Linked DNA regions of Xenopus tropicalis. The main gene of each other region encodes a partner of the protein of the gene in region 2 in a complex. Links are inferred from orthologs where the notes say so. Each region holds a gene or a part of one and is shown on either strand. Other genes may lie near its edges.

Region 1 (4,714 bases), on a different chromosome or scaffold from region 2:
AAGACCACATACTTGCACAATCTGCCATGGCATGTCTAGAATACTGCGTGCAGTCCGTCTCAAAAAACTGCCAAGTCCAGCTGCCTGGGTTTCTCGTATCACTCCTCCTGCACCTGGTGCCACATCTCCATCCTCCAGTCTTCGTTTCTTCTGTCGCTCTTTTCGTTGACGTGCCTGTAGCTCCCACTTTTTCTTGTGGTAACGGAGCCAGACTAGACGTTCTTCCTATTGGTTCAAAATGTATTACCATTCCAAATTTTAATCATCAAAATGTATCACAAGGGAATACATCATTGCTTTTTTGTAGCAAGTAAAGACAGGACTGCTCACCTTGGTGGTACCTAGTGGAGGTGGCGGTCCCAAAACTTCACGCCAAGACTGGGTAAGAGCCAGGTTCTGGGAGTCTCCTTGGCTGTCTTCAGCTGTTGGGACACGCTTTCTTTTGGTGCTTATTGGCACTGCTGGTTGCAGACGCTTGCCTATTCCAAAATCTTCCATGTCTGGAGTTTGCGAGGAATCCGGCTGCTGCATCTGGGCAGTGATCTGGTTCAGATAATAAATTAGTTAAAAAACACTAAACTATACAAAGAACAAAGGCAAAAATGTTATCTGAGCCAGCGAAAACGTTAACAAGTCAGGTAATATACGCGTAAACTTTTCTGACTAGTATAAACAAAAAATATATGTGGGTATATAATGTGTTGCGTTTTCATTTTTCAAGCAGGTCTGAAGTTCAAGAGTTAATATTGTTCCATCACAGTGTAAAGTGATTCAATATCCTCCCCAGCTGAAAAATTGCATTAGTGGAAATCTTATTATTTCATGGCATCATGGAGAAGAGGGCTGCTACCTCTGATCTAATTACTGTAAAGAAATGGTTTGACGTGCAAGTCACAATTAAGGATAGCTCAGAGATGATTATTTAGGGATTTCTGCTATAAAGCCACTCTGCCTTTAACAAACTGATGGCACTTACTGGATCATTAGCACGATTAAACAAAAATGATGATGACTGGACAAAAACCTACATAAAACCAATGTATAATTAACCGTTTTCAAGAATATCTTGCAACTAAAGACAATCCAAACAATGTAAAGGTATAACATTTATAGCACAGTTACTCTTGTTTTTCTGCTAAGTAACCAAAACTATGCTAATGATGACAAAAAGAAGGCCCTTTATCAAAGTATTCAGCCTTGTAAACTGAAATACCATAAAGGATTGCAAACAATCTTAAGAATGCTCTGGCAACAATTTAAAATTATGTTAACAAAAATATCTCAAAATAAGCAGCTGCTCCTGCAGTAAAGTGGATAACTAGCAGAAAGGAATATATAAATTTAAAAACACTCTGAACTTTCATATATGATATTTAACTACAATTAACGGTCAAGTACCTGTCTTTTGCCTTCACTGGTGAACAGCTCATTGATTCGTTTTTGTTTGTAGATATCATTTTTTTCCAGCAGCTTTTTATGAAGCCAGTCTGGATGACGTACACGTGGGACAGGATTCTTCACCTAGGAGAGACACAACAAAGGGTATGACATACAAGATTTAACAGTGTTAATGCCTTGCGCCACAAAAATTCGAAGACATTACGCAGAAGTGACTGCTGGAAGATTTCAAGCTACTTGCAAACTTTATGAATAGAAACGGTAACTATCGCTGCAGATACCTGCTGGTGTATACAAAAGCACACTTTGCTTTGATTCCATATGAATCCCCAGATACATAAACTTCTTTTTTAGTTTTAACAAGTTTGACTAAAATAGGGAGATCACGCAGCACCGGCAAGCGCCAAACTTCACAGGTTATTGTTCCTCTGTGTGTCTTATACAGACAATGTCCCCTACATACCTGCTGCAGTGCTGCTGGGATGGTAATAATCTTCTGAATTGCACTGCCCAATCTTTCTATGTAGTAATCCCAGTCTAGAATCTAATGGGTAGAAATAGGGTTATAGATAAAAATAAACCACAGGTGCTAATAGGAAATATCAAAATATTACATTGATTATGAACTTACAGAACGTATATCCAGGTCCTGCAAGGAAGGATTTTTTAGCCACTTTCGCAAGTAATGCCTTTTTACACCCACTTCAGCCTGGAAGATTGCCAGGGGAATGGCCCTGCGGAACAAAAATATAACTAAATAAAATTACCAGACCCCAGTCTTCCAAATGACTCAAAAGGTTTTAACAGCATACACAAAGCCCTTTTTGTTTTCTTGGAGGCATAGGAACAAATGAAAACTATCAAAGCAGCCCCATAACAGTCCAAGGGTGAAAGAAATCGAGCACAGTGGGCCAGTCATCCACAATACAGCTATACCTTCTGTTCAAAGAAACCACCTGTTAAGGGCAGAACATTCAAATATAGAACTTCGGAAAACATATAAATTGATAAACCTGCTGACAAGCAGTTAAGCCTAGCTGCCTAGGATATGCTGATCACTCTAGTGGAGTACGCCTTCAACCGCTTTAAAGGCAGCCTGTTCATTGCCTCATAAGTCAAGAAAATTACTATACAAATTTGACCCAACGGGCCTGCAACAAATTTAAGTTTACTATGGACATACTATAAACTGACACAGGCTATTACTTGGCTTAACCTACCCCCCTATGTGAGGAAGGGTGTGCTTTAAGTTTTGTCCCCGCTAAAAAAAAAAGCAATACATTTAGGTTGATTGTGGGCTGGAAAATTGAGTTTTCTTTACAAGATATTTAAAAAGACTTTGCTTGGTCAGATTCTGGAGATTCTTGGATCTTAAGGGTAGAATACTGCACTGACCAAAGTGTGGATTGACACTGCGGATTCCCTCAAAATGCTTCCCCTTTAAACATTTCTAGAGTTCAAAACAGGAAATCATGCCCAGACATGGATTCTGCCTCAACGGAGGCTGATTAGACTAACAGATCAGCCTAACCATTAAACTGGACATGAAAGGAGAGCATCCTTTTTTTAGAGTGACCATAAACTGAGGTAGTCATTAGCAAACTGTGCCCAATCAGCATAACATCACATGATGTCTCCAGCCAGGTTGGCTGCATGCTTAAAGGAGAAGGCAAGGCATTTTATGCCAATAGATTAGCAACATCAGTGCAAGTCCAAGAACACCTTTTAATCTGTAGAAAGCTTTAACATACCTGAGTAAACAACCCTAGAAACTCCCTGTTTGTTAAAGATAGCAACTGCCATTTTAGCTAGGACTCTGTAGTTTCTGTGCTGTAGCTCTAGCCACTGGTAACTCAGATCATACATTCAGATGGGAGGGGGAGTGAATTCTTATGGGAGGGGGAGCAGGAGAAGGGAGAGAGCTGTGCAGACTTTTCCTGGAGAAAGAAGGATTTTTTCGAGAGAGGAAGTTTGATACCGAAGAACATGTTTATCCAAAGGAAAACAAGAAATCCAGTGTTTCTATTGATAGAGGACCCCTTCACCAAGCACCAGCTATAACTGCTTGGACTAAGCAGAGGCATGTGGGCACAGGAGCAAGAAAGCAGTTAAGCGGGTTGGAAACTGCCCTGAAAGTGATGTGCCAAGTGACCCAAAACATGCAGGACAGGCAGGTTTAGGCTGAAAGATATCTGGAAGTGCCACCAGTGCGGGAGGCCGAAAGATCTGACTAGACCATTGGCCCCAAGAAGGTGAAGGCTATAAAAGAAAACCTCACCATGAGGCCTCTCAAATGTTCCCTGCCTGTAGATTTCCTCTGCTTGGAAATCTCTCTCCATACTTCTTACTATAGTACACTTGGGGGCACATTCATTAAGGCACGAATTTTCGCCAATTAAAAGCACGATTGGAAAAAATTCGGAGTAACCATGATAATTTCTGATGTGCGAAAATTGTGCAAAAATTATTTTCTTGGTCGTACGAAAATAATGTGGTTGTGATCCGAAAGTCACAAAATTTTCATATCTGAACGATCTTAAACAGCGCAAAAACCTTTCTGGCGTTGAAATTCAATGCATGATTTTGGAAGCCTTTTATAGGACTCAATGGCACCAACCTGGCCAAAAGAATGTCACGATACCAAAGCTTGAATAAATTCTGAAATGGTCACAGTCTCAAAAAAATTACTTTTTCGTAGAATTTAACGAAAATCACAAAAAAGTCGTACTATTTTAATGATATTATTGTGGTCAATATGAAAAGTTCTAACACAAAAAAAAAATAGAAAAAATACAAATTTTTCTCATTCGTGGTCAATCGTGCTTTAATGAATGAGCCCCTTGAACTAAGGGTTCAGTATGCTGGAAGAACAATTGATATGTCCTTTTTTGTAGGCACCAGGCATCATAAAACAGCTTTGTTGTTTAACAGCATAGTTACCAATTTATTATACTTTTTCCTTACAACTATCTTTGAATGTTACATAGTTAGATACTGTAATTAAAATGGGTTGGGGGGGGGGGGAAGAGAAAAAGGTTCATCAAATATAACCCTTCCAGATTAAGAGTGGCTTAGATAACTTTTTGAACCAGTACAATATCCAAGGCTATTGGGATTGTAAGATCTACATTATAAGATTGTAAGCTCTACGGGGCAGGGACCTCCTTCCTACTGTGTCTCATACCACATGGCACTTATATATATATGTATTTATTGTATTTATTTATTATATCACTTGTCCTCCCTGTGTGTAATTTTGTATTCTGTAAGATTGTACAGCGCTGCGTACCCTTGTGGAGCTTTATAAATAAAGTTA
Region 2 (5,269 bases):
GGTAGGGGGTGCCATAGTGTTTCCCTTAGACAGTACAGTATGGGGGTACAGCTTATTGTGTGCCCAGAACATTCCCTCTCTGTATATTTGTATTTATACATATGGGTAGGGGGTGCCATAGTGTTTCCCTTAGACAGTACAGTATGGAGGTACAGCTTATTGTGTGCCCAGAACATTCCCTCTCTGTATATTTGTATTTATACATATGGGTAGGGGGTGCCATAGTGTTTCCCTATGACAGTACAGAGTACCCCTGGGACCCTTACCAAGATGTCGCATACAATACAAAGACACTGGCCGCCCGGGATATTGCGCTCCGTGCTTCTTTGGAGATATTAACCCCTTCTGGGAGCTGGAAGAGAAGACAATCAGCATTAGTTGGGAGCATTTAGGAAGTTGGTTTGGTGATGAGACCCTACAGCCCTAGGGAGTTGCATCACATGACACTACAAGCTGCTATATATATATATATATACACACAACATGTATAGCAGCTCCATGCAGAGATTAAACATCAGCCCCTGCCACATGGAGCTTACAATCTAAGGTCCTTATTACACACATACAGGGGCAGTTTTATCAGGGGCCAATGAGCTGCCTGTGTGTGTATTTGGGCTGTGGGAGGGAACCCAGTAGTGCCAACTGGATCAGGAGTTCTGTTAGTGGAGTCCTATTGTAAGGGTGTAGAACATGGCAGACCCATCTGAACAACAGCGGAAACCCAACAGCTAACACTTCACTTACAGCTTCCTTAATGATCCGCGTGACCACAGCGTTGGGCAAGTTCAGATCTTCCGGTCTCTCGGCCATTCTGCTCAGCTACAACTGGAAGGCAGGAAAGGGACAGGTCAGTACCTGGGTATGGGCAGGGCAGTAAGTGGATATAAGCAGGACAGTGCCTGGGCAGGAGCGGGGCAGGACCTGGGTATAAGTGGAGTAGGGCAGTGCCTGGGTAGGGCAGTACCTGGGCAGGAGCAGGGCAGGACCTGGGTATAAGTGGAGTAGGGCAGTGCCTGGGCAGTAGCGGGGCAGTGCCTGGGTATAAGTGGGGTAGGGCAGGACCTGGGCAGGGGCGGGGCAGTGCCTGGGTATAAGTGGAGTAGGGCAGTGCCTGGGCAGTAGCGGGGCAGTACCTGGGTATAAGTGGGGTAGGGCAGTACCTGGGCAGGAGCGGGGCAGTGCCTGGGTATAAGTGGGGTAGGGCAGGACCTGGGCAGGGGCGGGGCAGGACCTGGGCAGGGCAGGACCTGGGCAGGAGAGGGGCAGTACCTGGGCAGGAGAGGGGCAGTACCTGGGGAGGAGCGGGGCAGTGCCTGGGGAGGAGTGGGGCAGTGCCTGGGGAGGAGAGGGGCAGTGCCTGGGGAGGAGTGGGGCAGTGCCTGGGGAGGAGTGGGGCAGTGCCTGGGGAGGAGCGGGGCAGTGCCTGGGGAGGAGCGGGGCAGTACCTGGGGAGGAGAGGGGCAGTGCCTGGGAGGAGAGGGGCAGTGCCTGGGGAGGAGAGGGGCGGTGCCTGGGGAGGAGAGGGGCGGTGCCTGGGGAGGAGAGGGGCGGTGCCTGGGGAGGAGCGGGGCGGTACCTGGGGAGGAGAGGGGCGGTACCTGGGGAGGAGAGGGGCAGTGCCTGGGGAGGAGAGGGGCAGTGCCTGGGGAGGAGAGGGGCAGTGCCTGGGGAGGAGTGGGGCAGTGCCTGGGGAGGAGAGGGGCAGGACCTGGGCAGGAGCGGGGCAGTGCCTGGGGAGGAGAGGGGCAGGACCTGGGCAGGAGCGGGGCAGGACCTGGGTATAAGTGGAGTAGGGCAGTACCTGGGCAGGAGCGGGGCGCTGGCGTACCTGGAGGAGCGGGCGGTACCTGGGAGGAGAGGGGCGGCACCTGGGGAGGGGGCGTACCTGGGGAGGAGAGGGGCGGTACCTGGGGAGGCGGAGGGGCGGCACCTGGGGAGGAGAGGGCGCGTACCTGGGGAGGAGAGGGCGGCACCTGGGGAGGGAGGGGCGGACCTGGGAGGGAGCGGGCGGTACCTGGGGAGGGGAGGGCGGTACCTGGGGAGGGCAGGGGGTTACCTGGGGAGGAGAGGGGCGTAACCTGGGGAGGAGAGGGGCGGGTACCTGCGGGAGGAGGGGCGGTACCTGGGGAGGGAGGGCCGGTACCTGGGGAGGCGGAGGGGCGGTACCTGGGGAGGGGAGGGGCGGTACCTGGGGAGGAGAGGGGCGGTTACCTGGGGAGGAGAGGGGCGGTACCTGGGGAGGAGGAGCGGTACCTGGGAGGGAGGGCGGCACCTGGGGAGGGGAGGGGCGGGGGGGGGGCGGACCTGGGGAAGGGGAGGGGCGGTACCTGGGAGGAGGGGGCGGCACCTGGGAGGGGTAGGGGCGGCCACCTGGGGAGGGGAGGGGCGGTACCTGGGGAGGGGAGGGGCGGCACCTGGGGAGGGGGGGGCGGCACCTGGGGGGAGGGGGCGGCCACCTGGGGAGGGGAGGGGCGGGGTTACCTGGGAGGGAGGGGCGGTACCTGGGGGAGGGGGCGGTACCTGGGGAGGGAGGGGCGGTACCTGGGGGAGGGAGGGGCCGGGGACCTGGGGAGGGGAGGGGCGTACCTGGGGAGGAGAGGGGCGTACCTGGGGGAGGGAGGGCGGTACCTGGGGAGGGGAGGGGCGGCAACCTGGGGAGGGGAGGGGCGGGGCACCGTGGGGAGGAGAAGGGCGGTTACCATGGGGAGGAGAGGGGGGCGTACCTGGGGAGGGAGGGGCGGCACCTGGGAGGGGGGAAAGGGGGGGCGTACGTGGGGAGGGAGGGCGGTACCTGGGGAGGAGAGGGGGGCGGTACCTGGGGAGGAGAGGGGCGGTACCTGGGGAGGGGAGGGGCGGTACCTGGGGAGGGGAGGGGCGGCACCTGGGGAGGGGAGGGGCGGTACCTGGGTAGGAGAGGGGCAGGAACAGGAGTAATATACAGCAGGGAAAGAGAGTAGCTGGGAGCTGTAGTCCAACACCACAGGGCAGGTTACTGAGCCCTAAAGTTAGAGTGATGAGCTGGGCACCCACCGACCCCCGCACAGGCCCACCAGCCCCATGATACACCCCCCCCCCCATACTGTACCTCAGGGCCCCTCACTGACAGGAACAATAACCAGACGCGCTCTTCCTCCTTCTCCACTTCCCGCCTTCCAGCCGAACCTTTACCAGCACCACGTGGCTCAGAAGCCCCGCCCCTCGGAACCCCTATTGGAACGCAAACCCCCCCCCCGGCTTGCGTTCCAACAGTCGCTCCTAACGCCTTGCGTTCCACCTTACAAAATAAAGGGGCCGCCATTGCTCTGTGTCACCTGAACAGAGGAGGGTTTTAGTAACGGGAATGCCTTGCGCGTACCAAGCCTCATAACCACTCAGCAGAACTTTCATTGCGAGAACGAGGCTTGGAATACACGGCAGCCATATTGCTTGGGAATGTTCCCGGAAGCGTCTTTTGTTGTTATGGTAACCGGGAGAGGGTAAGTTTTTTTTTGTATTTGCGCAATCGGGGCAGGAAGATATTGGGGTGAATGAGCAGTGTCTGATGCTGACAGGGGGTCTGTTCCCGTAAGGGTCTCAGTCATGTGACACCTGATGGTTAAATAACACAAAATATGTTCCTAAGGCTTTGCTTCCCCTTTACTCTTACTAACCGTGATTGGACTGCAACTCCCACATCCCTTTATAGCAATGAAGGGTTAAAAGATCTGGGGGCCCGATTTCAGGGGAGGGTTTAGACGTGATTATTATCCCTACTGAAATGTAATGATATAATATTACTGACGTCATCTGTTATAATCTGTGCTTGGTGATGTCATTTGTGTCACATGACTCCTTATGTGTGTCCTACACCCAAATATCCATTCATTCCTCATTCCCTTCCCTGCACTGCTGGTTCTGACTCCTGATACAACTCCCCAATATCCATTCATTCCTCATTCTCACTGGGTTTATAGTTATGTGTAACTGTCACTGTGTCTGTTCCTTTCCCTGCACTGCTGGTTCTGACTCCTGATACAACTCCCCAATACCCATTCATTCCTCATTCTCACTGGGTTTATAGTTATGTGTAACTGTCACTGTGTCTGTCCCTTTCCCTTCCCTGCACTGCTGGTTCTGACTCCTGATACAACTCCCCAATATCCATTCATTCCTCATTCTCACTGGGTTTATAGTTATGTGTAACTGTCACTGTGTCTGTCCCTTTCCCTTCCCTGCACTGCTGGTTCTGACTCCTGATACAACTCCCCCAATATCCATTCATCCCTCATTCTTCACTGGGTTTATAGTTATGTGTAACTGTCACTGTGTCTGTCCCTTTCCCTTCCCTGCACTGCTGGTTCTGACTCCTGATACAACTCCCCAATACCCATTCATCCCTCATTCTCACTGGGTTTATAGTTATGTGTAACTGTCACTGTGTCTGTCCCTTTCCCTTCCCTGCACTGCTGGTTCTGGACTCCTGATACAACTCCCCAATACCATTCATTCCTCATTCTCACTGGGTTATAGTTATGTGTAACTGTCACTGTGTCTGTCCCTTTCCCTTCCCTGCACTGCTGGTTCTGACTCCTGATACAACTCCCCAATACCCATTCATTCCTCATTCTCACTGGGTTATTAGTTATGTGTAACTGTCACTGTGTCTGTCCCTTTCCCTTCCCTGCACTGCTGGTTCTGACTCCTGATACAACTCCCCAATACCCATTCATCCCTCATTTCTCACTGGGTTTATAGTTATGTGTAACTGTCACTGTGTCTGTCCCTTTCCCTTCTCTGCACTGCTGGTTCTGACTCCTGATACAACTCCCCAATATCCATTCATTCCTCATTCTCACTGGGTTTATAGTTATGTGTAACTGTCACTGTGTCTGTCCCTTTTCCCTTCCCTGCACTGCTGGTTCTGACTCCTGATACAACTCCCCAATATCCATTCATCCCTCATTCTCACTGGGTTTATAGTTATGTGTAACTGTCACTGTGTCTGTCCCTTTCCCTTCCCTGCACTGCTGGTTCTGACTCTTGATACAACTCCCCAATACCCATTCATTCCTCATTCTCACTGGGTTTATAGTTATGTGTAACTGTCACTGTGTCTGTCCCTTTCCCTTCCCTGCACTGCTGTTCTGACTCCTGATACAACTCCCCAATACCCATTCATCCCTCATTCTCACTGGGTTTATAGTTATGTGTAACTGTCACTGTGTCTGTCCCTTCCCTGCACTGCTGGTTCTGACTCCTGATACAACTCCCCAATACCCATTCATCCCTC

Evidence for each region. Proteins that work in one complex are often made in the same cells at the same time.
Region 1: pole3 (region 2) and pole share a complex: the UniProt entries of both Homo sapiens proteins name them as parts of the DNA polymerase epsilon complex. The link is inferred for Xenopus tropicalis from reciprocal best matches to the Homo sapiens genes POLE3 and POLE.

What each region holds. Positions count from the first base shown.
Region 1 is NC_030677.2:144,163,441-144,168,154, forward strand, and holds part of pole (DNA polymerase epsilon catalytic subunit A), read right to left. Parts: intron 2,133-4,714; coding exon 2,030-2,132; intron 1,943-2,029; coding exon 1,862-1,942; intron 1,522-1,861; coding exon 1,399-1,521; intron 544-1,398; coding exon 331-543; intron 226-330; coding exon 13-225; intron 1-12. UniProt on the Homo sapiens protein: Catalytic component of the DNA polymerase epsilon complex. Participates in chromosomal DNA replication.
Region 2 is NC_030684.2:2,369,019-2,374,287, reverse strand, and holds the start of pole3 (DNA polymerase epsilon subunit 3), read right to left. Parts: upstream 3,130-5,269; 5' UTR 3,086-3,129; intron 826-3,085; 5' UTR 811-825; coding exon 745-810; intron 353-744; coding exon 267-352; intron 1-266. UniProt on the Homo sapiens protein: Accessory component of the DNA polymerase epsilon complex. Participates in DNA repair and in chromosomal DNA replication.